Cricetulus griseus: one gene and its partner. The protein of the gene in region 2 binds, or shares a complex with, the protein of the main gene of each other region. Links are inferred from orthologs where the notes say so. Each region holds a gene or a part of one and is shown on either strand. Other genes may lie near its edges.

Region 1 (15,009 bases), on a different chromosome or scaffold from region 2:
GGCCTCGAACTCACAGAAATCCGCCTGCCTCTGCCTCCTGAGTGCTGGAGGCACCAACGCCCATCGAGAATGTTGATTTAAGAGGCGGAGCAGAAGACAGTCGGTGCGACCTGTCTTCTTGTTTATTTTTTGAGACAGGCTCCAATCATGTTGCGCTGGCCTTGAGCTCACAGAGGTCTCCCACTTTGCTTCTACCTCCTCTGTGCTGGGATAAAAGACCTGTGCCACCATGCTAGACCTTCTCTTTTCTTTTGCTGTTGAGGTTGTTCTGGGAATTGAACCCAGCCACCTTGCTAGGCAGCTGAGTGTGAGGCTGAGCAATGTAGACCTTGGTGTTAAAAAAGAGAAGAAAAATGAAGTTGGGGGGGTGGGGGTGTGAGAGTGAATCTTGGACACATTAGGTGTGAATATGATCAAACTACATTGTGTGCACATAAATTCTCAAAGAATCAAACATTATAATCAAATCACGTTGAATGAAAATTACATTAAATATAATTTAGAAGTTGGTGGGAGCTGTGTGTGGGTGCTGCCTATCTGAGCAAAAGCAGCAGATCTGTGAGTTGGAGGCCAGCTGTTCTACGTAGGGAGTTCCAGGCCAGCCAAGGCTACATAAGGAAACTCTGTCTCAATGAAATAGAAACATGTATTTTGGGTCCCGAAAGATTACCTGGTGGTTACAAGGGCTGACTGCTTTTTCCAGAGGACCCAAGTTGGATTCCCAGCACCCACATGCCACTAACAACCATTTCTAACTCCAATTTTGGGGGAATTCGGTGCCCTCTTTTGGCCTTTATGGGCACTGAATGCATTTGGTGAATTAGCCATGAAGGCAAAACACCTATACACTTAAAAATACCTCAAGTGTGTGTTCATGTGCGCGTGCGTGTGTTTTGGTCTTTTGAGACAGGGTTTCTCTTTGTAGAACTCTGCAGACCAGGCTGGCCTCAAACTCAGAGATCCACCTGCCTCTGCCTCCCGAGCATTGGGATTAAAGGTGTTTGCCACCACACTGTTGTATGTCTATCTGTATTCTTAAATTAGTTAGGGCTTGGCAGTTGAGAAGTAGGACATTGGAGATTGAGCCTCTCTGGCAGTCTTGAACATTAAAGTATTGCAAGGCATTTTTTAAGCAGTCTAATCAAATATTTATTAGTGTCTGAACCACTGGAAAGATATACCTCACTCAACTGTGCTGTGTAAGGCTTTATCTTTGTCTCCCTGGGAACCAATTTCCCAGTGTCTTTCCTCTGGAAGCAAAATAATTGCTATTATATCGATTTCCCTGTCTTTTTCTAGGAGATTTCCTCACATAGTCATCTGGGCTGTTGTTAGGAAAGCAGTAAGGTAACAAAACCAAATGGCCTGGAAGTGAGCTAAGCCCTTTAATGATGTGGTCTTTGCTTTTACAGGAACAACTTTTTGTTGACTTTGTAGCAATGCCTGCTTGAGTCCTAGGCATGAATTGCCACCTTGGTCTAACCCAGGCTTGTGCTTCCCCCACCTACACTTCACTCCACTCTGTCCTCAACAGGTGCTGTTGAATTGTGGGAGCTAGATGAGAATGAGACACTTATTGTCAGCAAGTTCTGCAAGTATGAGCATGATGACATTGTGTCTACTGTCACTGTCCTGAGCTCTGGCACACAAGCTGTCAGTGGTAGCAAAGACTTCTGGTGGGTTCCTGTTTTCATTACTCCCATCTCTAGGCTTCCTGTGGGTATCTTTCTATCCTCTTTAATTTCATTAAGTAATGTTTGGGGCTGTTTTTAGAGTCTAGTGAGTAATGGCATGTCTGTTTCCTTATTGGTGTGCATTATAAATAAGACAACAGGTTCTAGGAGGCAGATAGGGGACATGTTAGTTAAACATGTTCCTGTTTGAATCCATTTTTATGTTGATAGTGCAAGTCAAGATTCCTATTTCTTTTTTTGCATTGTAGCATCAAAATTTGGGACCTGACTCAGCAGATGTCATTGAATTCATATCGAGGTAAATATTCCTTCTTGATTGATACTGGCTATAGTTATCTTTTATTTCATCCTTTGGGAACTTTGAACTTTGTTTGGATAAGTCTGTGTTCTCTTGGTTGGCTTCTCCTTACCCCTAAACTACAGTCAGGGTCCTTTATTTGCTGCCTGTCATTTCCTCTGTTCCTGTTTTTGTTGATGGTGTCACAGCCTTTTCACTACTTGGGTGACTTAATTTATTGCTGTAGAACACCACCATGATCAAGGCAACTTGTAAGAAAAAGCATTTAGTTGAAGGCTTGCTTATAGTGTCAGTGGGTTAGCCCATGACCATCACTGTGAGGAGAATGGGGGCAAGCAGGCAGGCCTGGTGCCTGAACTAAGCAATTACATCCTAATTCACAAGCGTGTGCATGGCATGGGCTTTTGAAACCTCAAAGCCCGCTCTGAGTGACACATCTCCAACAAGGCCACACATCCCAATCCTTCCTAAATAGTCCACCAATTGGGAGCCAAACATTTTAAACCACAGTGGCCAACAAAGTCTATCTATCTTCTTCTTATACTCGGGGTTCATCGGGTTCTTTGAGTCTCCATTTGGTCACTTCCCTTCTGACCATTTCTAACATTTTGTTTACCATCAGGCTTTATCCGTAGATAGTCTCACTCATCTCTTTGCCTGTCTTCTGTGACTCTTGGTGCTTCATTTGTTTCTTGTGTCCTGCAGAACAAGATTCCATTTTCTTGTCATCATTGGAGCTTTATTATGACAATCGGCTGTGCACCAGCTTAACTCAGACACAGCAGAGCCTTGTCCTTCTCAGTCTCCCCCTGGGTGTGTGTGTGTGTGTGTGTGTGTGTGTGTGTGTGTGTGTGTGTGTGTGTGTGTGTGTAGTGGAGACCAAAGGTCAACGCTGGAGACACCTACTCTGTTTTTCAAGACTGATTCTCTCACTAGGACATGGAACTTACAGATGAGGCGGGGCTGACTGGCCAGGGAGCCACAAGGGTTCAGTTTTCTCTGCCTTCCCAGTGTTGGGCGTATAAGCAAGTGCCACCATAACTTGACTTTTTACATGGATTCTGGGGTTGAATTCAGGTCTTCATGCTGGTATTGAAAACACTTTACTGATTGAGCCATCTCTCCTCCCCAAGACTTTTGAATCGTAAATCTGTTGAATTTTCACCTCTATAAAACATCTTCTCAGGGCATTTCATCACTTTCTTTAATGTTCTTTTTACTTTGCTTCATTAACACAACCAGCATTTGACTTTAATTTGGTAGCAATTATTTATGAATTTTGAATTCATGAAGATGGATAGTGAGGATAGAAGGATGGAGAGACATTTAGTCCTTAAGGCAGACCATTCTGAGTACTCTGGAAGAGCTGGTTAAATGACCTCAGTGATTTCTTCAACCTCTACCTAGCAGTGATTTTTTTTTTTTTTCACATGTAGACTTTCTAAAGGATTTAAAAGCTATACCCTCCCACATATTTTAAAAATTGTTAATGAAGAGATCTAAGTAGGGGAAGTGAGATGCTTTCTTTGGTGAGTAAAGGTACTTGCTGCCAAACCTGGAGACCTGTGTTTGATCTTTGGATTGCACCTGGTGGAAGAACAGAACTGACTCGTGCAAGTTATCCTCTTACCTCCATGTGTGTGCTGTGGCACATGGGCACACATACACAATTAATAAATATTATTAAAAATTAGGTAGTTGACAAGAGGTTAAGTTTTTGTCATGTTTATTGTTACACATTTTTTTCTAAGCATGTGTTTTTCAGTGTCAGTAACCTGCTTACAGAAACTGTTTACAAATAACCTAATGACGAAAACCAGTTTGTTCTGTTAGCAACATTAGATTTCACTTTCTTTTACAAAAAGTCCAGCTTGGTTTATTAGTTCAGATAAGCTAATTGGTTATGTTCTTCTGACAACCATTTTATTTTTCAGTTTTCACTGAAACAGGCAAGTCACAGAGCTGCCCTTGTATTTGTGGGGTGACTGAGACAGGTTCAGTCCCTTCTCTGTTCTCCTTTGAGAGCCTTAGATGTTCAGGCTCTGAATGCTGGCATGGGAAGCCCTGGGCTGGAAAGGAGGTATGCATTCTACCTCTAAAGTGGGAGAAGCAAAGCTCAGGCAGTTCATTTCACTCTCAAGGGAAAGCATATTATAATACTCACATTGCTTAAAACATAGTGCCAGAACTCTCAGATTTTTCTATGCAACTTAGAGGCCTGCATCTCCATTATGGAAACTGTTACTGAGTCAGTAATGGCCTTTTCCTTTGAAACATCCATACTGCAAATTTCCTTCCCCATTCTTACTAAGCCTGTAATTGGACTTCATTGTCCCTACCAGTTCATCATTTTCCGGAGCCTCTTCAGGTTTTCTAACTATCAGCTTTCCCTCTGGTTGTAGTTTATAATCTGTCATATTATTTATTGACTGACATGATGAAAGCAGGCCTGTTTCTGACATTCTCTTTTTTCTGCCATGTTTCTCCTTTACAGCTCATTCAGGACAGGTCACCTGTGTTGCTGCCTCTCCCCACAAAGACTCTGTGTTTCTTTCATGCAGTGAGGTGAGATCTAGTCACTTCTTTCCAACCATAGTTGAACATTCATAGGCCCAAATCCCTGGTGTGGAGACTGGCCAGCAGCTGTTCTTTGGATTATGAAACCCTTTTTTTGTTCCTCTTCCTAGGACAGTAGGATTTTGCTCTGGGATACCCGCTGTCCTAAGCCAGCATCACAGATGGGTGAGTCTGAGACCAATGGTGAGGAGAACATGGCAATAGGAAGCCAGTTGGAAGAGGCTGTCTTTGCCCAGAGTCAGAGCAGAGTTGCCAGATGCCCACCCTCTGTGACGTCATTTTCTGTCTCACTGAGGCTCTGCTCACCATAGTGCAATGAGTACCAAGGGGAAGGGCTAGCTTCCAGGTGGGTGGTTACTCTGCAGAGAGAGACAAAAGGACTAGGGTTATTATTGTTGTGCTTTAAATGTATACCCCCAAATGACAGGAGACTGAATAGATGTAGGTCATGAGGCTCAGGGATGACGACATGCTTGATTGCCCAGGTCATGAGGCTCAGGGATGACGACATGCTTGATTGCCATAGCAGCATTTAAGAAACCCAGTCAAAGTGTTCCCAGGACTTTGTGACTTCTCTTGAAGAACTGCTTCTTGTAGGTTGTGGCTGCTTTTGTTCCAAACCTCCCTTTTGTCCTTTCCAGGCTGCAATGCTTCTGGCTACCTTCCTACCTCCCTGGCTTGGCATCCTCAGCAGAGTGATGTCTTTGTCTTTGGTAAGGCAGCATGACATATGGACTCTGAGAACGGGAGGATGGGAAAGCGCTACCTTCGAGGTGTACACACTCTTGTCAACACACTTCAGCACTACATGAATTAGAGCAGTTTTGTTTAGCTTTGGGGGACATAATTTTTTCCTAGTAGATTGGATTCCTCATGGATCCAGCTCCCTTATTCTCGGCATGATTAGAAATCATTGGGCCACTTAGCAAGCAGCTTTGCTGTTTAGGGAATTATGTGGGTATGACTGCATATGGTAACAGCTTGTAGTTAAAGTAATAAGTATCCAGTAATTGTCACAGCACACAGTAACTTGCTTATCCTACCTTACAAAAGGAAACTGGTGCTCTGGGTGGTGAACTTGTCCATATCTCGAGGAACTAAGATTCATGCAAATCCAGGACTGGCATATCAAAGCCTAAGGTTTTTGTTGTTCTTTTCTCTCCTAAGACAGGGTCTTTCTATGTAGCTCTGGCTGTTCTAGAGCTTATTATTTAAATCAGGCTGGCCTTGAACTCAGATAGATCCTCCTGCCTCTGCCTCCTGCATGCTAGTATTAAAGGCGTGCTTGACTGTGGACAGCCTGAAGTGTATGTTCTTAACCATGGTAACATGCTGTTTCTTCAACAGGTGATGAGAATGGATCTGTCTCTCTTGTGGACACCAAGAATGCAAGCAGTACCCTCAGCTCAGCTGTGCACTCCCAGTGTGTCACTAGGCTGGTATTCTCTCCACACAGGTACTGTTTGTCATCAGGGGTTTGGAAGGGATGGGTTGGGCCAGTGGTGAGGGGTAGGAATGGAGTGATAAGGAATGTATCTATTGGCACAGCATTAGCTGGTTACATTGTTCCTTAGATGGAACAATGTAAGTACTCGAGCTTGGTCTTCCTAAGCTAGTCAGTACAGTTCTTATTAGGGTTGCATAGTCTAAAAACAGCTGAAATGTGATCTCATACCTGTTCAACACAGCTTGATTGATGTTAGGCTTCTGGCACCATGTGCTTAAGGAGCCTGATTCTGGGTAATTGCTAATGTAGAGAGGGACCCATTGGGTAGTTGGTTACCAGGGTGGTTTCTATGAGTACTGTCTCTGTTCCATTTTTATTGGAATTATAATGGCAGGAAGACCTTAACCCAAAGGTGGGTATCAGGCTGCCTTTTCCCCTGGCTCAGTTTATGGTGAGTTTGGGGCTGGTGCAGTCAGATTTTGGTTATGGAATCTAGGCTTTATCTTCTCTCCCCTTTGTTCCCTCTCCTAGTGCTCCCTTTCTGGCCTCTCTCAGTGAAGACTGCTCAATTGCTGTGCTGGATTCAAGCCTTTCTGAGGTGTAAGTTTGAAGTAGAACCCTGTGGTTAGGAATCAGGCATCAAGACCAATGGGCAAGCAGGTCTGTTTTGTCTTCAGGAACTTGCATGTAGAATTCTTCCTTTGTTGGGACTGGAGAAAAGCTCAGTAGTTAAGAATACTTCCTTTTGTTCCCAGCTTCCACATCCGTCTGCTCCCAGCTGTCTGTCACTCCAGATCGAAGGCATGTGATGCCTCTGCTTCTGTGGGCCTCTGCACTTGGGTGCACATACCCACTTACACATTATTAGAAATAAATAGAAGAAAATTCTCCATCTTTGTCTGTAGAGGTTCTCTCCATTTGTGTCTGTGTGTCTGCAGAGACTGAACACTGGAAGCAGTCTGATTGTAGGCTAAGTCTAGCTAGCATCCCAGCTTCACGGAGGGAACCCCTGCTGTGAAGTGAAACCTGCTATAGAGAGAAAGGCATGGGAAGGAAGACCCCGGTGTACATCTCTCTCTGCTATGACTTCCTGCTTGGTTGTAGATATACTACTTCTTTGCTCTGCATACTATTTCTTCCCCTAGGAAAGTAGACTGGATTGGATTGAACATCCACTGTCCTGGTGATAAGCTGTACAAATGGTGAAATGTTTAAAAACAATGTGTCCTGATTATGTTAGGTTTTCTTTCTGTCTTCTTCCCACCTCGGTTTTTGTGTTATCTCTTACCACACACCCACTTTTGTTCCAGGTTTAGAAGTCGAGCCCACAGAGACTTCGTGAGAGATGCTACGTGGTCTCCACTTAACCACTCCCTCCTTACCACAGTTGGCTGGGACCATCAAGTCATCCACCATGTTGTGCCCATTGAGCCTCTCCCAGCCCCTGGACCTGAGAATGCCTCAGAGTAGAATGGATTTCAGAAAAAAAAAAAAAAAATAGCCCTCCACCTGCAAGAATCTGCTTGCCTCTGCCTCCGTATTGTGAGAGCACAGGAAGGAGCCTTGTAGAGCATGTTACTCCCTAGTCCCGTGCAATAAACAGGCAGACTCTCAGCCTGAGGGAGGCTGCAGCCCATAGTGTCTAGGAGGGAAAACTTCCTTTATATAAATGGGTATATGTGTTCGAGAGAGCACATGTGTGTGAGTGTATTAAGTAGTTTGGGGTGGGGAAAATTATTCTTCAGCTTTCCCAAAGCACTGCTCTTTATTTCCCACAAAGTGAGAACAGTTTTATGCTTCCCAAGTCCAAGAATTGGATATGTTGTCTGGGATATGGAATGTGAGTATCCCTAGATTTGTGGGAGTGGTTCCACCACTCAGAGATGGGGTAACTTATTTTTATATAGAGTTTAATTCATTATGGGGAATACTTCAGTCCATAAAAGTCCAGCACAGTATACCTTGAGAAGACACAGAAATACCACAGTTTTGTACAAATCCATGTTAAACTGAATTTTCAGATCCATTTTCTTGGTGAATAAATTTGGCTGTTGCAATGTAGTTCTTGCTCACCCTTTGCCCTCCTCTGTGTTGTATGAGAGAGATGAGTGTTTTCCTGTCCTAGATTTCATAGAAAGTTTTAGGGATGATTGAACATTTAAAGGGGTTTCAGTGAAGTCAGAAAACTGACAGGGTTTCTTACAGAGAAATCTTTGTCATTTTTCCCACCTAAAGATACCCTGAGACCTGATTGCCTCTGGGCACCTTCCTCTGGAGATATGAAGTCTGAGTGCTGTATTTGTGAACTATTAAGATTTAAGATCCATCATTAGGGAAATTCTGAAATACTGAAATGTGAATTAAAGACTTGGGTCATGGCCTTTTCCCCCACCAAAGCTGTTGTTACTTTTTGTCTGCTTTACTTAGGTGAGTCACCAGGATGTTGTCAATTTTACTGCCGCTGTCTGTATTTTACCATTCCTGAAGTAGTTAGTTAAGGGAGAACTTAAACATTTATTTATACTTGGTGTTGGTGGTCTAGCCACTCCATTTAGAGTTCATGATAAATAACTGATTATATTGGAGCTGAGAGTGACTGGTGATAGATATACTTTGGAGTGTTTCAACTTTAGTTTAGGAGAAAGTAGGTAAGTGGGCCTCCTGAATTCTATATTTGCTAGTCATGAGGCTCTTGTTATTACCTGTGAGTAAAACATTTGAATTTGCATGCATGGTCAGCCAGGGCTTGAAAGAATAAGCGTTGGTGGAATCACTCTGCTGCTCAGAGATAAAGCTTGTGTTTTGTGGTCACTTAGGCACGAAGGGCAGATAGTGCATTTGCATGGCCTGTTTCTTAGGCTTAAGGCTGATAGAGGGGGGGAAAAAAACTTAAAGAAAAAAGGCTTAAAAAAACTATGTTAGAAGGTCTAAAATGAGACCAAAGAAGAGAAACAAGTTTTTGAAGAATTGTTACTACTTTTCATTGTTTAAAAATGAAGAGTGGGGTAGATGAGACCACTTGCTACTCTTTAGAGAACCTAAGATTTAAGTTTCCTTTTAGGTCTGTATTGATAAAAAGTAGTTCACATTGACTAATGCTTGCCACAGGTGTGCGAACCTAGTCAAAGCCATAATTAGCAACAAGCATAATCTTGGGACAATTGTATATTATGAGCAGAGAAGATAGTTGAAAATTTAAAGACCTGGAAACAATCAGGAATATAGGGCTGGAGTTGTGGCAGGTCATTCATTGTCTTGAGAATAGTTGCAGTCCTGCAAGGCCCAGTGACAGGGAACAATGGGTACATTTTGCTTGTTAAAAACCATTCAGTTTTCTTCAGGTTAGTGTTACTGTTCAAGTGTCCATTGAGTGACTGCATTTCCTTAGCTTTGATATCCATACTTGGAAATCTGTTAGCCTGACCACCACTTAGCTGCTGATCCCTAGCCCACTAAGATCTAAGAGTTTTTCATAAAGTGTCGAGTGCTTGGGACATGAAACACTGAAGGTCTGTGTAGTCTCAGAAATACCCAAAGTCAGGGCCAGGAGATGGCTCAGTGTGTAAGAGTGATGACCTGAATTCAGTCTTGGACCCACATGGTAAAAGGATGGTACTGACTCTTCAAGCTGTCCTCTGCCCACCTATATGCACATAAATAAAATTTAAAAAGTACCTAAACTCAAAACTTCTTTGGGCTTCTATATTTTTAGTAAATAAGGAAGGACAGGATATTGGGGAAGAGGCCTTGTGTTCTAAAACTCAACAACTTCACAGAGCATCATAACATTGATGCTTTTTAGACGGAGAGTAAAGAGCTCTAGATTTTAAAAAGTGTATTTGGACAGATTGAGTGTCTTGTATTTCCTTTGTGTTTTGATATTGCTTGGCTTAGCTTTGAGTGCACCAAGTAAATATGAATAGAAAAAGACATGTGTATTGTGAAGGCTAACAAAGTCCAAGTGTGGGAGAAGCTAGTGAGCTGGTTATTGCCAACATGGTCATACTGGGGTGGGGGGGGGGCAATTCAGAACCTGTAAATTGCTTTTGTTTGGGAAATGGTAAGCAAGCTCCAGGCTCAGTCTCAGCAACTTCATCTCTAGTCTATACAGTACTGTTGGGAAGTAAGCAAGGCAAGTAGACCACTGTTGGACATTCAAACACATTTTCTTTGTGAGGTTTCCCATAACTGCTGGGATTTGGACTTCCTATGGAAGCATGGATGTTTTAATCTTTAGTGTGTGGCAATAGGACAGGTGTACCCAAAAGAGGCTGAAGGAGGAATGAGCTGCTGGAAGGGAGGAATAACTGGTAAGTTACACAGAACACAATGCATGATCCTACAGTCTTAGCTTATGTTTAGTGTGGTCTTCCACTTACTGTGGAATACTTGTTATAAATGGTAATCTGCTATTCTTTTTGTAATGTCAAAATTCAAAAGCTCTGTAAATAGAGTTTAGTCCCTAACATGGTTTGGTGAAAATCAGCCAATGTCATTGGTTGAAAAGTCACTCAAGATAACAGATTTCATTTGACCCTGTGATGTTGAGTGCCAGATTCTAGGCAAGCATTTCATTTTAGAGGCATTGGGCTAAAAGAATTAAGAATTAGTTTCAAATGAAACTTCCACTTTGGTGGTAGTTCTCTTGTGGATTCTCACCAACTCCATGAAGGTTGTACCTGAGAATACATTTTATGACCACAAGCTAAATTAGCTTCAGGTTCTGCAGTCTACAATTTATCAGAAATCATGACATTGGCCAGGCTTAGAAACATTAAGCTGGGTGTGCCTGGTTTCTGTGGGTGTACATATTCCAAAGGCAGACTGCTTAGCTTTTGGATCTGTAGCTACAGAGGTAGTCATGGCTCTTTCAGTAAAATGCTCAGATCATCAGCCTGGGCTATGAGGGCCTGTCCTCAAAAACAAAACACCCAAAATAAGAAACCTGGAACAATATGCTTAACTTGTAAATCCAGTGTTATAAAGTCTTAAATCATGGTGCATACCTCAAACATGTCATAATAAAAGACAAGGAACATGATGTGTGAAAACATTGCTTTATGTGATAATGCACATTTTCTAGTATAATAACCAATATGAAGAGAAGAGATAAAAGTCCTCATGCTTATCCAGCAATCATCCTTTACAATAAATACTGGGAAGCAGCCTTTACTTTAAAGATGAGGTAATTGGCTAGGAAATGCTCATTCAGGTTTACTGTGAAGCATGGTCAATACTCTGGAATTTTGTATCATTCACACAACTGATTTAACTTAAACATGCTCCTGCAATTCCTCCACAATGTCAGTTTTCAGTGAAACGCTTTGGTCAAAGAAAGGGCTTCACATATGGTCCTGCCTTCATCTCCATTACCAAGGAAATATGAGTGCAGTCATGCTGCTTTGCAGAATTCTTGTTACCCAAGTAACATATATTAGTATATATCTTTCCCTGTAAGAATAGGCTAAGCACTAAAGAACAGATTCTAAATGCCAGTGCATGTGTCACAGAAGCATTGGCTATTTTTTGTTGTTTGTTTTAAAGCAAGAACTGAAGGAATAAAATTGGGGGCAAATGGACCCAGCACATTGATTTTCTATTTAATCCTTATTTAATGTGATCATCAACCACTATGTATACAGAATCAGAATTGCCAGCTTTTTGGCATGGTCATGCCTGGATTAGGCAGAGGTCATTGGTGGCAACCATTGTTCTGTCTTTGCTTTCTCAGCATCCTAGCTACTCCTGTGGATGTGGAGAGATGAGGTGCCGATTGTCAGGCAAAGTATACTGACAACTAGTGCTCCTGGCAGCAGTGTGATTTGAAGGGTGCAAATCTAGCAGGGCATCTCAGCCATGCGTAAGATCTTGAAAGGCAGGAGTCACAGTGGAGGAAGGATGTATTAAAAGGGAACCAGTAGAGCATCAGACCATGAGGGAGCCTGACAAGACTGAGGCCCCAGAAATCAACCTTAGTACCAATAATTTATAGATCAGGTTGCAAAGTCATAGATTCAATAACAAGAATTAGGGCACACAAACAGTGACTGAGAAAAGCAGGGTCATTAGAGTGAAAAAGAACATCGGGGAGTCATTAAACCACAGGGATAAATTATTGCCTTGGGAGGCTTGCTGATCTGCTTTAGGTTAACAGTAGCCCAAAGAATTGAAGATACATGAAGATACATGAAGGACCCCAGGGATGATACAGAGCAGGAAGGGGCCCTGGGGCCTGTTTGATAATAAAGCCAATGCTTTCTCACTGCAACCATTGTGGATTTCCAAGAACACACACACACACACACACACACACACACACACACACACACACACACACCACTCCATTTGTCTTTGTTCTTGGATATCTAAATACATTTCTGGTATAAAAATTTTGAGTTTCTTGCTTATTTCATTCCTTAAGTGAAGGACAGTTGTTCAACAGATTTGACCATTGGGCACTGTGATTTCTTTGAATCCTCCATTGGGATCTGTGTAGCCCCTCCTGTGCGTGTGCAGCAGTGTCTGTCTCAGAGAGAGGGCACACAGACCATCTTTAGATGGTCTCAGAGAAAGAAAACCCATGGATTAAAGCAACAGCTGATGTACAGACTTTTTGTTTTTTAAATATCAGAGGTATTTTCCAGCTTTTTTTTTCCTCTTTCAAGTTTTTTTTTTTTTTAGATTTATTTATTATGTACACAGTGTTCTGCCTGCATGTATGCCTGCAGGCTAGAAGAGAGCACCAGATCTTGTTATAGATAGCTGTGAGCCACCATGTGGTTGCTGGGAATTGAACTCAGGACCACTAGAAGAGCAGCCAGTGCTCTTAACTCCTGAGCCATCTATCCAGCTCCCAGATTTTATTTTTTTAACCTTTGCATTGTTGTTGCATTTAAAATTGGCTCCTGGGTGTCCATAATCATATTCATATTCCTGAGGCTCAGGTTCCATTCTCATGGTTGGCTCATATACTTGTCCAAATGTTTTCTGACGCTTAAAAAGTTTCAGGTTTTTGTTTTTTGCCTGAGGAAATAATGGCTCTATCAACTCCAGGCCCACTAGCCATGCAGGGCAACCAATAGCTGCTGCTCACGAGTGCTGTCCCCTCCCTTACCAGTCCCTCCTGACTACTGTCAGGTGACAGTGAAAGGTCAGAGAACCAGGGGAGAAGGACTAGTGCAATAGCTCTCCAGTCGGACCGCACATTAGACACTGGTCTGAACTCTCTTTGTATCATGTAGAGAACACACTGGCTGTTTTAGTGTGTTTACTCCACCTGTTGACATGAGCAGCCTGGTGAGTATCAGTGTTTGAGTTTGAGCATATCCTGCTCTTCTGGCCAGCTTCCTAATAACATCTATAATGAATTAAGCTCTTATTTTATGCAAGCCACAATTTTCTCACTATCTCTCCAGTCCCTATATATTCCTGGGAGATAAGAATGCTCTATTAGCTCAAGAAAAACAGACTTTCCTTTATGTGTGGAAACTGCAGGGGCTCAATAACTCATCCAAAATTATATAACTTATAAGTGATATAACAGGGATTGCTACCTTGGCTCTAAAGCCAGAATCCAAAGCTGAAGCATCAAAGCTTCATGATACACTGCTTTTCTGATTATGGACATACCCCATCATGCAGTGTTTCTCCTCCACCTCAGCTGTGGGGAGTTGGATACCAGGAAATGGGGCCAATTGCCAGACAAGACTCAGGAACATTGCCCTTGTCTTTGTTATAGCCTGCGGTGAACACTGACTCCCTGCTTGTGTCAGGCCAGGGATGTGGCTTTGTTGGCCCTGAGAACTACAGCTGTTCCTGAGAGGGAGTAGAAGTATTTCTGAGGTCACTGTGACTCTTGAGCCATCGTTTCTGGCATGGCATGTGTGTGTAGCTGGGCTCTCCCCATGTTGCACATGGGCTAGCTCCTATTAAAGGGTCTTGAGCTCCATCCCCATAGCTGCCAGACAGCTGAGATGGGGAGGCTGCTGCTGTGGGTTGGTGAGTATGGTGAATCCTAGCAATGCCACATAGTTAGGGAGATAGCAGTTTACTATTTCTCTGGTGCCCAGTAAAGCAGCCTGAGACTCCGAGTCTGGATGAGGCAAATATGAGATAGATGGAATAAAGAACCAGAGGTACTCGGAGGAAGGGGCCGAGCAGCAATTCTCCAACCTAGTTGTTTTCATGATTGGGCTCCATCTTGGGCCAATTTATTCAGAATTTCTGAGAAGAGAGCTTTGATATGAGTACTTTTGAATTTACAGCCAGAATTGAGAACCCCTTAGCTTGTACATCTGCCATTGTCCCTATGCAAAGTATGAGCAGGTACATTTGATGATTATAGAAAAGGGCTTAGACCAGCTTCACTGTTAACTTTGAAGGAGAGGAAACCAGTGCCTGATGTGTGTCACCATGTGTGTATCTGAGTGTGTATATGGTGCTGAGCTGGAGGGGGCACTTGCTGACTGGGGGTTTATGGGGGCAAGCCACACTGCGCTAGTATATGAATTCCTTTGTTTCCTGCAGGGCTGGTTCTTCTGATGAAACACAACGATGGTAAGGAAACCACCTTCTCCCCTCCAAAGCCAGGGAGATTCTCTGGCTAGGAAATCTCCATTCAGTGTCTCCTGGACCCCTGCCTGTTTTGGCTCCTTGCTCAGAGGTTATTGATCCAATACAATTCAGCACAGGATGCTGGCCACTTGCTGTTTGTATGGCTCAGTAGGTGCCAGGATCTAGACAGATAAGGCATTCTTTCTTCTCTTGGGCCTCAGCAGCAAGGGCAAGGGGTCCAGGGGCATGTGGAGGAGGTGTTGGTATATGTGGGAGGAATGGACTGTTACAGTGGCCTGCTCTCTTTGGCTGTGCTTTCTCTACCCCCAGAAGCCGAATTCCCTCCTTGCCCCATGATCTCTGCTGACTAACCCTTGTTGTCCTTGCCAGGTACTGCCTACAAGCTGGTGTGTTATTTTACCAACTGGGCTCACAGTCGG
Region 2 (15,251 bases):
ACACTATGGAAATTGAACCCAGGTTCTCTGAAAAAGACAACTAGATTTCTTAACTGATAGCCACCTCTCCAGTCCTTCAAGGGGCATTAAATCCCATCCACTAAATACTGCAGGCTATTCTTCCATCCCTGCTCCAAAAATCACATTAACCACCCACAGTCAAAGCAGTGCCTGTACTTAAAAATAAGTCCTTATTGCCAAAGGGGCAGAGAAATGCTTAAAAGCCAGTCGGCTACTTCAGGAAGAATTTACAAAATGTTGGTGTTTGAGGGATGATGGCAGCACCTGGTGAAGTCATGACCTGGGCCAAGCACATCTGAGGTGCTCTGGTAGGTGTTTTGGCAGGTGTTCATCACTCATTCCTTAGTTAAGTGACTTGCAGAAGGAAGGGGAAACTGATGGGAGGAAAGACTCACTTACTCCCTCCATATAGATGCTGATGGTACCTAATTGAACACCTTGGGCAGAGCCAACAAAGGATGTCCGTGACCACACCTACTGACTTGAAGAGTGTAGGATCTGTTTTCTTGGAGATGGTTTTGAGGGCCCCACACCTCCATCCTGAGTGGGCAGCTACCTAACCCTCCAGACCTCACTACTTAGGACTTCTGTCCCAGTCATTTAGTCCCAAGTAAACACACATAGGCTTATCCTAATTATAAACTGCTTGGCCAATGGCTAAGGCTTCTTATTGGCTAGCTAGCTCCTAATTATTAACCCATTTCTATTAATTTATGTATCTCCACATGGTCTTTCTTGGCTTACCAGAGAATGGCTTGGCATTCTATCTTCTTGGTACATGACACTACATGACACTCTCTGGCAACTCACTGTGTTCCTCTTCTCAGAATTCTCCTAGTCTGGTAGCCCCACCTATACTCTCTGCTTGTCTACATCTTACCTGTCCATTGGCCAAAACAGCATTATTTGTCAACCAATAAGAGAAACATATATTTACAGCAAACAGAAGGGCATCCCCCATCACTCAAATTATTGCCAGATTCCGAGGCTACACTGCTATCCCTATCAGCACCCCACATGACCCCCTACTGCAAAGGTAAACTGAGACTATTCCTCAGATAATACAGATACTGCAGTAAGTATTCTCTTCTAAAAGAACTGATGTGGCCAACCCTCACTCCAAAACTCCTGGAGACTTCAGCTGCCCAATCCTGCACTATCTCAAAGTTCCTGGCTTTTAGAGAGCCAAAGTCAGTACCAATGCCATTTCACTGTACCGACTTCAAATTTCCCCTCTGTAAAATGGACAATTGGACTAACTACTCGCTGGAGAAGCTTGGCAATCCATCTAAGGCAGGCAGAAGCTAGCTAGCCTCAGTCATGCTTCCCTGAAGTGGCAAAGGCCACTAGTCTTTCATAGAGAATAGACTAATGGATTTAATGGACCAGTCAGAAAAAGTCTACATCTAGAAGTCCTGGGGAGGGAATGTGGGTGGGATATGGCAGACAGACTCAACTTAGGACCTCACAGGTTACCACTGAGTACCCCATGCTGGACTACTGAACACCCCCCCCCCCAGCTCTCACTCAGCTTTTTAAGTCCTTTGGTTCTCATGTAAGGCAAGAGCACAAACCTGAACATGCCTAGATTAAGTGGATGGAGGGATACAGGCAGGGAACAGCAGAGTAAAGCAGCAGAGGCCATAACTTCACTTTATTTGTTTCCTTCTTACACAAAACCATCCAAAAAACAACAGAATAAGGCAAGGAAAAGGCTGGAAATTTGTTCAATGCACATGTTCTCGGGGCTGTTCCTCAAATATTTTCTTTTTTCTCCTGACCCCTGCTCTGAAGGCTGAGTACCTGTTCATGTTGCTTTATATCCAGCACTACTAATTCTTCATGCCCTAGCCAGAGGCCTTTGAAGATTGGTGGCTTGTGTCCCGTCTTTTTTTTTTTTTTGGAAACAGGGTCTAACTTGTTAGGTAGACCAGCCTAGCCTCGAATTCACAGAGATCCACCTGTCTCTGACTCCAGAGTGCTGGGATTAGAGGTGTGCACCACCATGCTTGGCAGTCCTGGAATGCCTACCCCTTGCCCACCATGGCACAAGGTAGGAAAGCAGACTGAACCGTTCCTCTCTGACGGGTGAGGGTCTCACAGATAAACTGTACCAGGAGCTGTTCTGCACCTTTTGTGCTGTAAGAACAGAACTCAAAGCGCTTCCAAGGCTCAGCATTGCACACAGCACTAGAGGCCAATGGTGTAGGAGCGGCCAGTGGGGTTGTGAATAGAAGAACAAACTGGTGCTGTCACCGCCCACTCGTACCACACCTTCTTAGAATTGCTGCATCGCCAGAAACGCACACAGATGCTCTGGCCTTCACGCACCGTGATGGGTTGCTGTAATAGGAAAGACAGGGAGGTTCAGGTAGAGCTGATAAACTATAAACAGCCAAGTGTAGGGTACAAACCTATTAACCCCCAGCACTCAGGAGGATCAGGAATTCAAAGTCAACTTGGGCCATAATTCCAAACCCCATACCAAATCAAACAACAAAAGATAAAAACACCGAAATATTCTGACCTTCATAAAACTTATCTACTGTGTCAAAATATAGAGCACTCAGACAGTGAACAAAGGGTAGTGAATGCTATGAGCATGTACAATAAGCCAACCTACTCTAGGAGGCCTGGAAAATGAGCTGACAGTAGGAATGTTCCAGGAAACCTAGGTCAGTTAGTAGGATGTCGAGATGAGCAAAGCAGAGACAGAGGGCTGGGAGGCAGGAAAAATCTACCAAACTAACTCTTATAACACTATTCCAGATTTTCACCTAAGGGCAGTGGGAAGGCACTGAAGGGTGTAAGTAGTGAGGCAAATTCAAATTAGAGTTGTAAAAAGTGATTCCTGACCCAGGTAAAGACTGGACAAGAGTGGTCAGAGATGTGGGGAGTCCAGGTTAAGTCACTTAGGTAACCCCAACCAGAGCAAGTGACATAGCAGAAAGGGGTCACAGCCAACTAGCTGAGGGACAGGAACAGAATACCACTAGCAGGTGTTCCCTGAGCCTACTGCCTTAAAGGTGATTCCTACCTTAAGGGGAAAGAGAATGGGGAACCACGAGAACATCCCAGGAGAGTGGGTCTCTGGACGGATACCTGTGGAGACAAAACAGTGGAACCTGAGGTCTCCCCTCTCCCTCTTACCTTGTTGAGAAGTCTCTTCTGTGACCATAACAAGGAAGAATCAAAGATCTCCAGTCCCTGACACTGGGCTCCCACTAAATTAGTGTGCTGGTCCTGAAGTAATACCAACTAATATTCAGCCTCAGCCTCAAAAGCTCCACAAACAAGCCAAGCTTTCTGGAGCAGTCCCAAGAATGTATAGACTGAACAAAGGTCACCCCTGTTGCGATGCCCTCATACACTGGCCCAGACACTCACTCAGAGTGATGTCCCGATAAAGTACAGTCTCAAAGTAGCCTGCAAAGCCATGCAGCACCGTGTTCACCTCCACAGGAAACTCCAAGGTACAGTAGCGGTTGTTGTCAATCATAGGATCTGTTAGGAAAGACGGGGGTGGATGACAAGGGGAGCCAGAAACCCTAGACAACTTGGTAAAACTTGAACAAGATCTAGCACAAGTCAACTAAGATGCGCAGACTTGGGATAGCAAGGGGAGGAAGCGGACAGCTCACGCCCTTCTCAGTCAGGATGGCCATGCATCAATCTACCTCGGTTGGGATGGCTGAAGGTGAAACAGGGCTGGGGTGCAGACAACTGGTGGAAGTTGTGCAGCCGAACCACGTAAGGCATCTCAAACTGTGCCTGTACAGAGCGAGAAAGCAGGAACTGGAGAACACAGACAGGAGGTACCAACCTCCCCAGAGGTCAAAGAAACCCCAGGATCAAAGAAACAAAATCTCTGCTTCACTTCAACCACTTTCTTCAGTCCCAACTTCTCTTTCACTTCTTCATCTGTTCCACAGGAAGAAGACAGAGGCGACTAAAGAATATCCCCACTTTCCAGAAAAGCAGCTTTTTACCTCAGGGTCACGATCCTTTTCCCGACAGGCTCGGACCTCATTGTACAACTTAGAGGAAGAAATGGGAGCCAGGAAGGAGGTATATTCTCCAGGGATGCTCACACCATCATCTACAGAGCAATAGGGTCAAATCAGTTTCCAGAGGGAAGGAAATGGCATGTTCGCACTAACTGCAGGCTCAATCAATACAAGCCACGGCTGCTATTGGTGTGGCAGGAAGACTGGATGATGCCCCATAGGGATTCCACTCTTAAGTTAATTTAGTGCCACAGATTAAAATGTAATATAGAGTCATGCACTACTTAGCAACACAACAAATTCTGGGATGAATGTTAAACTACTATGTGAAAACAATAGTCCTTACATAAACTAAGATGACTGTGGTGTCCCTGATGACATAATCCTATGGGACCACATGGACAAAGCCCACTGCTGGTGAATATCATTAGACAAGGCATGATAGCACTCTTATCTGGTGGTTTTGAAACTTTGTGGGGATCATAACACCCCATGAAAGTTCCCAGTGAACATTAAGCTCAAGTACCCTCCTATGGTAGAGATTGTACCCAGAGCCTCATTTTAGGTAAAAGCTCTATGGCTAAGTCCTACCCTGGCCCTCAAAGTACATGCATATTATACAAACTCAGGGAGCCCACAGACCTTAGGTAAAGGATCTCTAGTCTATCCACTTACAGCTCTCAGAAGTTTTGCTATCTGACATAATTTTCTTTCTTTTTTTTTTCAAGATTTATTTATTTATTTGTTTGTTTATTTAATCTATTATATTTACAACATTCTGCCTCCATTATGCCTGCACAGTAGAAGAGGGCACCATATCTCATTATAGATGGTTGTGAGTCACCATGTGGTTGCTCAGGACCTCTGGAAGAGTAGTCAGTGTTCTTAACCTCTGAGCCATCTCTCCAGCCCCCCGACAATCTAGCTAGCAGCAGTTCAAAGCCGTATGATCTGATACAAGTCCAATTCCCAGGGCTGCTTCCCAGACCAACCAGCAACTGCCTCACGCACCCAACCTGGACAAACCTTTCAGGAAGTGCTGTGCTCCATCCAGACACTCAGGCGACAGCTCGTTGTCAGCAAAGGAGCCCAGAAGCTCACTGACAATGATGTCTGCTTTCTCGGGAGCCACCCATTCCCGCATGTCTGAAGAAACAACCGTCACCTGGCTCCCCCATTCTTCAAACTGCCAATTCTCTAGCCTGAAACAGAGGTGACAGAATAAGAGCCGGAGCTGGAAACTGGGACCTAGGACAAGCTGCCTAGCAAGCAGGCTGCTACTCACGTCACCACAGCATTGGGGTTCTTCTCCACAGCATACAGCCTTATCCGCCGGTCAGCCTGCTTGGCTGCCCGGAGAGACGCATTCACCAGAGGGCCTCGGCCTGCGCCCAACACCATCAGTACCCTAAGAGAAGGGAAGTGTCAAGCAAACTGAGCAGGTGGACAATCAGGTGCAGAGCTCCCTGGGAACATAGGGAAAGCACTCACTGGACATTGGTCTCCTTTTCCTCTTCTGGCACTCGGTCGAGCAAACATTTGTAGATAGCCTGGGGGGAAGGACAGAAAACCTTACAGCTACAATCCCTTCTTCGCTGATCTTACCCTGTGCTTTGCCACCCTGAAGCCAACACTATACCTGCTGATATTGAGAGTATTTGATGGGGTCCTTTTCAAATACTTCGTATGTCTGAGATTCCAGATTGTCCATCAGTGGCTGATAAAAAGAGGAAAGAACAAGTTGGCCAGTTAGGGGAAATGGTCAAGATATCGAAATCTCCCATTGCTTCCTGAATTGTAATAGGATCCTGGACCACTTTCTCTAAGAGATATCTCTTGCTATTATTATTGTTGTTGTTTTAATATTATTACTTTATGGTGGCTTTTTGGGTATTTTTTTTAAGTTAAAAAATATTTGTGTATGGGTCTTTTGCCTATTTGCATGTCTGCACACCACACGCAGGCAGTGCTTGAGGAAAGGGCACCAGAAGCATCAGATCTCTTGGGCCTGGAGTTACAGTTGTGAGCCACTATGGGGGTGCTGGGAATAGAATCCAGGTCCTCTGGAAGCAAAGGCAGCACTCTTAACTGCTGATTAACCTCTCTAGTCCCTCCTCTCAACTCTGTAAATGTACTCCAAACCTACCTGAAGTGGGGACTGCAGGTAGTCTTCATAGCCTTTGGCAAAGAGTTCATAAGCATTGGGTGGAGGACGATTTTGGCTTAAGTATTCCAAGTACTGGAGGTAGGAGCAGAACTCCTTCTCTGAGTGGTGGTTGGTGCCCGTGATGATAAACTGCACTTCCAACTGTGAGAGAAGTCAGATCATGAGACCCAGGCCACAACCATGACTCTCAGACATTATGGTTTATGACCAAAAGCCTAAACATAAAATAAAACCCACACCAATAGTTCTCCAGCATCAATTCCCCCAAAAGGGGGCTCTGAAAAATCTATGAAGTCCTTGTATGCTATATAAGCTGCCTAAGCATCATCCTGACTCAAAGGAGAGGATGCCACAAGGGAGAGGATCCCTGCAGGTGTCATGGCAGGCAGGGAAACGATGCACAAAGAGATAAGAATGAAAACTCTTAGCCTGGCTTAGGCTGGATCAAACTTTGAGAGTCTGATGCCAGGCAGTTTATTGTCAAGCATATTTAAACACAGTAAAAATTAAGAAAAAGTTTCCTGTTATAATACAATCCCCAGGGCACAAAACTCAAAGTATCTGTCATTTCTTCCAAGAAGACTGGTTCTAGAGATAGGCTACCTGTACTAGCTTAAGGGCCTAAGAAAGGCTCTGGCATGGTCTCCTTCACACAGCTAGCATAGAGGTCATTTGGACTACTAGCCACATCTGGGAGCTTGGGGGAAGCCCCTGGCTATGTAGCTAATGTAAGGGTCATTTAGACTACTAGCCACCTGCGGTTCTGGTTGTGGAGACTTGATATGGCCTGGCCCAATAGATAAACAGGTTTTCCGTCCTTCCCCTAGAAAGGACAATCCTGCATGCCTAACATTTCTGGCTTCTCTGGTGATCTGTAAGTGCAAGATCTTCACACTCCCACACACAAGGGCCTTCACACTCCCTGTAAACACACAAGGGCCTTCACACTCCCTATACATACACAAGGACCTTCACACTCCCCCACACAAGGACCTTTAATTTCTTACTTGTTTGCCTGTTTGCCTTGAGACAAACAGGCCCTGGCCGGCCTGAAAGGCCACTTTGAGTTGGAACTCAAGAGATCTGCTTGCCTCTGCCTTCCAGTGCTGGAAGTGTGCGTCACCATACCCAACCTTTTACTTTAAATACTTATGTTAACAAATTTCTCATAAAGTTTGGTTCCTTCTCCAAAAGTCACCTGACCCTCCTCCAGAGGGAAAAGAAGTCATGGACAAGTAAGTTAGGAGATTCCACTGGGCCACTCACTCACCTTGAGGAGTCGGAAGATCAGCCTTTGCTGCATCTTAGAAAGAACAGGAAATCCCTTCTTGTTGGTTAGGAAAATGCTGGTGGGGAGGATGGCTGCTTTGATGGGCTCTCCAAGCCAGCGGTCAATGACGTGATTAGATGGGAGGTCAGCCCCAATTTCAAGAGCTACACAAACAAGAAAAAGGCCTATCACCTGCTGTTAGGCAGGCAGCCCTGTCTTACTGGGTACAAGCGTTTTCCTTCTGTTGAAAACTGGTGGTTGAGCCCAGGGAAAGCAGCCAAAATACCCAGTACACACACAGAACTCATTTCTTTGTCCCCTTTTTCAGACAGGTTCTCACTGTATAGTCTTGGATGGCTTCGAACTCACAGAGCTCCACCTCTCGTTTGGGGATTAAAGGTGCATGAAAATAGAATGGTCAGTGCTAGTTCTATTTTCAGAGTGGGTCTCAAGTAGCCCAGTAAGTACTGAAACTTCCTGTGAACTTCTGATACTCCTAAGTGCTGGGATTTCAGGCATGTGCCATTACTCATGTGTGCTATGGATCTTACTTAGGGCTTCATGTATACAGGCAAGCCAAGTGCTCTGCCAATTGCCTTACATCATCCCCCCCCCAAATTGTTGATCTTCCTTTTTTTTTTTTTTTAGATTTATAGATTCTCTTTATTTATGTGCATGTATGTGCAGTTACCCATGGAGGCCAGAAGAAGTCATCAAATCCTCGGGAGCCAGAGTAAATATGCAGTTGTGAGCCCATCAATGTGGGTGCTGGTATCTGAACTCTGGTCCTCACAATAGAGCTCTCAACTGAGCCATTGCTCCAGGCCTGAAATTACTGGATTTTTTGTTTGTTTGTTCTGAGACAGGGTTTCTCTGTGTAACAGCCCTAGCTATCCTAGAACTACTAGCTCTGTAGATCATATTGGCCTTGAACCCACAGGTATCTGCCTACCTCTGCTTCTCAAGTTCCTGTATTATTAAAGGCTGGAACTACCACCACCTGGCTGTTTTTGTTTTAAAACAAAACAACCACAGTCTCTCTATGTAGCCCTGACTGTTCTGGAACTTTCTAAACTGAAATTCTTATTTTTGGTTTTTGTTTTCCAAGACAGGGTCACTCTGTGTAGCCTTGGCTGTCCTGGAACTCTGTAAACCAGCCTGGCCGCAAACCCATAGAGATCTGTCTGCCTCTGCCTCCCAAGTGCTGGGATTAAAGGCGTGTACCACCACCACCGATTGGCTATTTGGGGGTTTTGCTTTGTTTTGTGAGATAGAGTCTGTCTACATAATTCTGGCCATCCTCGAACTCACTAAGTAGACCAGGCTAGCCTTGAATTCAAAAAGATCTACTGGACTCTGATTCCCAAGCCCTGGGATGAAAAGTGGTGGGCCACCGCACCCAGCCTGCTGATTCTTACTCTTACGGGGTTCCTCCTATCCCAGGACCCTTGTGCACTTACCTACTGCAATTCTCTTGCTATAATCACACAGAGTCCTGAAGTTATGCCACCTGCCCAGATTCAGAAACAAAACACTGTCAAATGCATATGGCTTATGACTCAAGGAGCTCTTCTACCAGTTCCTCAATATTCCTTACCCCACCCCATACAGGTAAAGCGCCAAGAGGAGACATACCACATCCACGTCTTCTCTTCCCCACTGTACTCCTCTGTGTGTGTAGTTGGGACATTCTCAATGACATCATCTCTCAGGTCCTCTGGAGCCACCAAGGGCACCCTCATCCAGAACTGCATATGAACAGTTACCATTAGTTAGAACACTGTTTTCAACTAATTGGGTCCAGAAAGCTTCCCTCAAAAGATCTTGATCCAGATCTCAAGTTAATCTCTTTATATGCCCTTCTGAATTTGATTACATCCGTGTTTAATATCTTATACACATCCTTATGCAAATACCTCCCTTGTCTTTTATTTTAGCTAGAAACAAGCATTTTCTATGATTTGGCATTGTTTTATAGTGCTAAGACTCTTACCCAGAGGCTCATGTATGTTAGGCAAGTGATTACCACTGAGCTGCACCTCTAAGCCCATAGATTCTGCTTGAAGCTCTCTCCATGCCACTTCAAAATTGGGGGTTGGGTGGGATGGGCAGTACTGACATTTCAATTCGGCCAAAAGCACTGGGGCATAACTAGGCAAAAGTCACTTCACACAGCTGACTATCATGATACTCAGCAGCACAGAAGCCTACCATGGAAGAGTGGTGGCCAGTATGGATGTGGTTGGTCAAAACTCTGGCCAGGTTTGTGTTATCTTCCTGATTCAGGGGCAACAGAAAAGCTGGAAGACCCAGATATGCCCCGAAATTCAGCTCCTGTAACATAGCCTGAAACACATGGAAAGAAAAAGCCATTAAGAACTAGGAACCAAATACTTCCTGGGTAGAGAGGAGTTTAAACTGGATCTGGTATTGTGGCCCAGGCTGTCAGGAATTCCCTATGTAACTCAATTTGGCCTTGAATTGGAGGCAATCCTCCTCACTCAGCCTCCACAGTCCTGGAACCCAGCTTTGTAGACCAGGCTGGCCTCGAACTTAGAGATCCGCCTGCCTCTGCCTCCCAAGTGCTGGGATTAAATGCGGATGCCACTACTGCTCAGTTATTTTTGTCTTTTTGAGACAGGGTCTGTCTACATAGTCCTGACTATCCTAGAACTATGTAGACCAGGCTAGTCTTGAACTCAAACTATTTTTTTTTTTTTTTGTTTTGAAGAGGGCAACAGGATCATATGCTCACTTCAGCAGCACATACATTAAAACTGGAATGAAATAGGGTCTTAGTATGTAGCCCTGACAGGCCGGGAACTCTCTCTCTGTAGACCAAGCTGGCATCCAACTCAGTTCGAGGATGGCCTCTGCTGAGTTACAGATGTGAGTCACCACACCCAGGGTCAGACTCTTAACTGTACTCTGATTTACCAGGTTCTGGGGAGTGGGAGTTACTCTCCTAACCCAATTTGATGACAGAACTAATTTCTTTCCTTTTTTCCCACCCTCCTTTTCTTTTCTGGCTTGGAACTCTCAATCCTCCCTCATTATCTTCCGGTGTGGAATGCCTCCCCAACACTGAGGTTACAGGTAGGGGTGGGTCACAGCACCTAGGTCAGACCTAGGTCAGAGCCAGGCGTTGGTGGCGCAGGCCTTTAATCCCAGCACTTGGGAGGCAGAGGCAGTCGGATCTCTGTGAATTCAAGGCCAGCCTGATCTCCAAAGCGAGTGCCAGGATAGGCTCCAAAGCTACACAGAGAAACCCTGTCTCGAAAAAAAAACCAAAAAAAAAAAAAAAAAAGGACCCCACAGAAAAACCAAACAGCCTTACCGCTTCAGAGTTCCTTCGGATCCTCTCCACTTTGGAGTCTGGACGAATCCACGGAGAAAGCTTTCCCACAATTAGCGTATTCCAGTCTGCACTCCCCCACCCAAGAAAAGACAAAGACTCAATGAGGTCTGGCATTTTCTTGCTCAATTTCTAGTTCTCAGCAGGAAATAGAGTAGAGATGAAAACAAGCCTTTTTCTCTCAGATACAGGGATAGCCTGAAGAATGGGGGAGTTACCTATATCACAGGGGTTAGCCAGTACAACCAAGTCAGAAAAGGAGGGAATTGAAGACCTATAAAGCAGAAGTTATTACTGCCTCTAACAATCAAGGGGCACACGGGATGGTCCCTACCCCTTCCTGACAGCAGTAGGTCTGATCGTGTCTGGGGGCCAGGTCGATTCTTAGCAGGTTCCTGAGTGAACTCCCTCTTGAAACGCGGGTGGAAGACAGGCATGCAGAGGAAATCAAACCTACAACCGCGACAGACTCAGAATTATCATGGAAAGTGAGGACCCAGAGATCAACCAACTGGGTTTAAACTATCTTGATTTTGCACAGTTCTATAAAGCCATCAGTCACCCCCCGGGGCTACTGAGTTCAGCCCATCTTGGGACATTTAACTTTCTCTGCACTGTGCATCAATTTCTTCCCAAAACATAGCCATGAAAGATGACTGAGAAAAGAAGGACATCCAAGGCAAATAGCATTCTTTCTTCCCTGATAACACTGGCTTTCCAGGGCTATCAAATCCAGATTTGTCCCAATACTGCCATGCCTCCCCCAGCCAGATTAACCTCTTCTCTCGTTTGCCCCCTTAAAATACTTCTTTCTCCTCTCAAATAATCTTAGCCTCCAAGGCCCTAGACGGACTGACTCGCGTCCCGCCTTTAATTTACCCAACAACTCCCCTGACTTTTGAACTCGGTGACCACACGCCTCCCAGAGTTTCATCCTCTCGTTCCTGGAACCGAAGTCGTCCCCACTCAAGGAGTAATGGTGTCTCCAGCCCTCATCCCCTGCGGGGAACTAGTCTGCCCTCCTTGGTCCCCAATTTGGATCCCGCATTCCTCACCCCTGCTTGGCCACAGCACCCAGTGTGTCAGCTATTTCGGGGACGCAATTCAGGTCCCTCCCGCTGGACACGCGGCTGCCACCGGCACCTCCGACTGCCATCGCCGCCATCTTTTCCCTCGCGCGGCCCACGCCGGGATTCCTTGCTACTAGGGACCAATCACAACGCCGAGAGCAGTCCCCGGGAGGCGGGACAAGTCGCCTTAACAACCAGAGCGTCTTCGCAGCTCCCGAGCGGAGGCGGAGGGACCGAGCGGCCGCTCCCGCCAATCCACAGGCCGCACCGTGACGTAGGCGTGGCTCCCCGGCTCGACCAATGACAGGCCGTCACTGCTGAGGCTCTGCAATCTCCCAGAATGCCGCATCCGTCTGAAGCACTCCGGAGAAAGACTACAGGTCCCATGCAACCCTGCAGTTAGCCTGAAGTACTATCATTGGGCTACCACAAAATGTCTGCGGGCCAGTGGCGCAATGGATAACGCGTCTGACTACGGATCAGAAGATTCCAGGTTCGACTCCTGGCTGGCTCGTTGGGACTGGTACTCCTTTATTTGCATCCCTTGCTAACCCAGTGTTCCTAAACCCCACTAGTCCTGTAACGTTTTGCTCTTGTCTCACAACCGCTGTACTTCCTTCACTATCTGCTTACGCTGTCATTTCCAGGTCTTAACCTGGTTCGGTATTTCAGCCATCCCATGCTGGCGTGTCTCATTCCTCTTTTCAAAGCTGTTTCTTGTATAATTAAGTGAATCTGAGCATGAAAATTTCGGTGAATGGACTATTAAGATGAGCTTTGTCTCATTACTATGCTTAAAAAATACTACACTTAAAAAATACTCTGTAGTAACTTAGCCACTAATTCCTAGTGATTCTGTCTCAAGCACAGATGTAAAGAAACACCTGCCCGCGCGCGCACCCCTCAGAGAAAAGGAATTCATGAGCGATTACAGTGCCCAGGAGTCATGAAACTGCCTCGCGGAGGGCCGAGAGAACCTACGTTTCCCCCTGTCAACAGCTGGAAAAGAAGGAAATGGCACAGGCAAGGAAGAACCTCGGAAGGGAACGGGAAACACGTACCTGAGGCAAGAAGCCCACAGACGTTGAGGACCCTCCAGGCCAATCTGTGGAGGCATTTTCTCAGCTGAAGTTCCCTCTGCCTTGTGTCAGCTTTGACAAAACAAACAAACAAACAAATAAACAAAAAAGTTAAAAGGCACTGACAGAATTCAGGGACTCGGTAGCAAGGAACCGGGAGGGGGAAATAGTAATGCCACGCAGCAGCGTTTTGCCCTTGAAGTGGGAGAGTTCAGGGAGAATCGGATTTGGGGTTCGGGGTGCAGACTGGCCATCCAGAGAGCGCCGTGTGATAGAGAGCTGCAGGGACAATGATCTGAACCACACGTATTTGGACGTTTCCAGACAGGAGTCTTGACTAGTGAGGTCACCATGGATTATGGAGGACAGTGCTCTTAGCAACACAGGAAGGCGTGGAGAAAATAGGCTCTAAGGAACCCTGGGTAACGTAAGTCCCCCCCACCCCGCACCCCAAGAACAGCCAGGAAACCAGAAAACCAAGAAAATTCACAATGAGGGGTTGAGGATGCTTTTGTACCACCACCACCACCCACCCATCACACCAACAACAGCAACCCATCACACCACCTTCACCACCACCACCACCAACCCATCACACCACCTTCACCAACAACAACAACCCATCACACCACCACCACCATCACACCACCCCACCACCCCCACCAACAACCACCCCACCCCACTCCCACCTTCACCACACCACCATCACCACCACACCCCCCACCCCCACTCCCACCCCCACCTTCACCACCACACCCCCCACCCCCACCTTCACCCCACCCACCCCCACCCCCCACCCCCCACCCCCCCTTTTGCTGCTCCCGGATCTTTGTTTTTGTTTTTTGGGGTTTTTTTTTTTTTTTTTCGAGACAGGGTTTCTCTGTGGCTTTGGAGGCTGTCCTGCCACTCGCTCTGGAGACCAGGCTGGTCTGGAACTCACAGAGATCCGCCTGCCTCTGCCAACCGAGTGCTGGGATTAAAGGCATGCACCACCAACGCCCGGCTTGCTTCTCTGGGATCTTATGCAGGATACCACATCACATTTAGTCGAATGTGTCCTTAGGCTCCAGTTGACTGTGACTATCTCTCAGATGTTCTTTGTTCCTAATGATTGTTACTTCTGATGATGTTAAAATGCCCTTCTGTTGGAACTTGTCTCATGTTTTTCTTTTGATTAAACTGGGAAAGAAAGCAGGGCGCTGGTGACACATGCCTTTAATCCCAGCACTCGGGAGGCAGAGGCAGGTGGATATCTGTGAGTTTGAGACCAGCCTGGTCTACAAGAGCAAGTGGCTCCACCGATGACAATTTTCCATGCTATACTTTTTGGAAGGATTCCACTCTGCACCGCCCTGCCCACGCCACGGGATTGGAGAACTACAGGGCCTCTCCTGTAGGGGGCAGAATTTATTTACAATTCTCCCTGCAGATCTTTCCAGTGGATGTCTGTGGGAAGTGAATCTGCCCACAATCCACGAGATAAAAACACTGTTAAGGAAGGGATATGTGATAGGTAGGGTTTTAGTTGGTGGGGGTGGTAGGGGAGGACAGGAGGGAGAGGAAACTGGGATTGTCATGTAAAACAATCTTATTTCTAATTCAAATTTTAAAAGATTTGCGCGCACACACACACACACACACACACACACACACACACACACACACACACACACACACAAACGCTGTTAAGGAGGGTTCCTGTCTCTGCCTCAGCTGTGCCCAGCAAACTGCATCCAGCAAAGTCTTGGTAGGTGTTTGTTCTTTCAGAAGCTAAATGTCTAGTTGTGGACCGTCTGTGTTTCTGGGTCTCACTCCTGACAACAAGGTAGTGGTTGTTCCATTGGCTGTTAAAAATCCATAGGTGAGAGGGAAAGAAGGAAAGCCTGTGAAACACTGTGTTTTCACTAGTTAAAATACTTTTCAAGAGTATGGACATCTATCGGGCTGGATTTCTTCCCTCTATGTTGTCTTTGTTCTTCGTTAAAACTGGCTTTGGCCACCTACTGGGTATGATGCCAAGCAGTTCCTGGGAATTCTGTCACACACTACTCCTGCTGTCTCCCACATCCTTTTCCTGTGTCACTTGGAAGGGGGAAAAGCATGTAACTACAGGTTTGTGTATAGCAAGAAGGGAAAGACTGAGAGAAAAAGAATAGAGAGTTCAGGTCAGTGAAATGCTCTGTGGGTAAAGCACTCACTCACCACACAAGCCTGGTGACCCAGAACCTTACTAAAGAGGAAGAACAGACTCCCAAAAGTCGTCCTCTGACCTCAAAAGCTAC

What was found.
Region 1: Prmt5 (region 2) and Wdr77 share a complex: the UniProt entries of both Homo sapiens proteins name them as parts of the methylosome complex. The link is inferred for Cricetulus griseus from reciprocal best matches to the Homo sapiens genes PRMT5 and WDR77.

What each region holds. Positions count from the first base shown.
Region 1 is NW_023276806.1:51,035,911-51,050,919, reverse strand, and holds the end of Wdr77 (methylosome protein 50), read left to right. Parts: intron 1-1,534; coding exon 1,535-1,676; intron 1,677-1,942; coding exon 1,943-1,992; intron 1,993-4,486; coding exon 4,487-4,557; intron 4,558-4,679; coding exon 4,680-4,734; intron 4,735-5,210; coding exon 5,211-5,282; intron 5,283-5,916; coding exon 5,917-6,025; intron 6,026-6,547; coding exon 6,548-6,616; exon of another isoform or gene 6,617-6,676; intron 6,677-6,771; exon of another isoform or gene 6,772-6,908; intron 6,909-7,326; coding exon 7,327-7,486; 3' UTR 7,487-8,077; downstream 8,078-15,009. Other genes in the region: Ovgp1 (oviduct-specific glycoprotein), read left to right, coding at 10,299-10,326, 14,543-14,572, 14,960-15,009. UniProt on the Homo sapiens protein: Non-catalytic component of the methylosome complex, composed of PRMT5, WDR77 and CLNS1A, which modifies specific arginines to dimethylarginines in several spliceosomal Sm proteins and histones.
Region 2 is NW_023276807.1:209,724,850-209,740,100, forward strand, and holds Prmt5 (protein arginine N-methyltransferase 5), read right to left. Parts: upstream 12,032-15,251; 5' UTR 11,986-12,031; coding exon 11,876-11,985; intron 11,274-11,875; coding exon 11,155-11,273; intron 10,889-11,154; coding exon 10,803-10,888; intron 9,812-10,802; coding exon 9,677-9,811; intron 9,214-9,676; coding exon 9,101-9,213; intron 8,976-9,100; coding exon 8,926-8,975; intron 7,630-8,925; coding exon 7,466-7,629; intron 6,337-7,465; coding exon 6,175-6,336; intron 5,746-6,174; coding exon 5,668-5,745; intron 5,579-5,667; coding exon 5,520-5,578; intron 5,437-5,519; coding exon 5,314-5,436; intron 5,231-5,313; coding exon 5,055-5,230; intron 4,121-5,054; coding exon 4,011-4,120; intron 3,793-4,010; coding exon 3,699-3,792; intron 3,526-3,698; coding exon 3,409-3,525; intron 3,124-3,408; coding exon 3,059-3,123; intron 2,365-3,058; coding exon 2,212-2,364; 3' UTR 1,649-2,211; downstream 1-1,648. UniProt on the Homo sapiens protein: Arginine methyltransferase that can both catalyze the formation of omega-N monomethylarginine (MMA) and symmetrical dimethylarginine (sDMA), with a preference for the formation of MMA.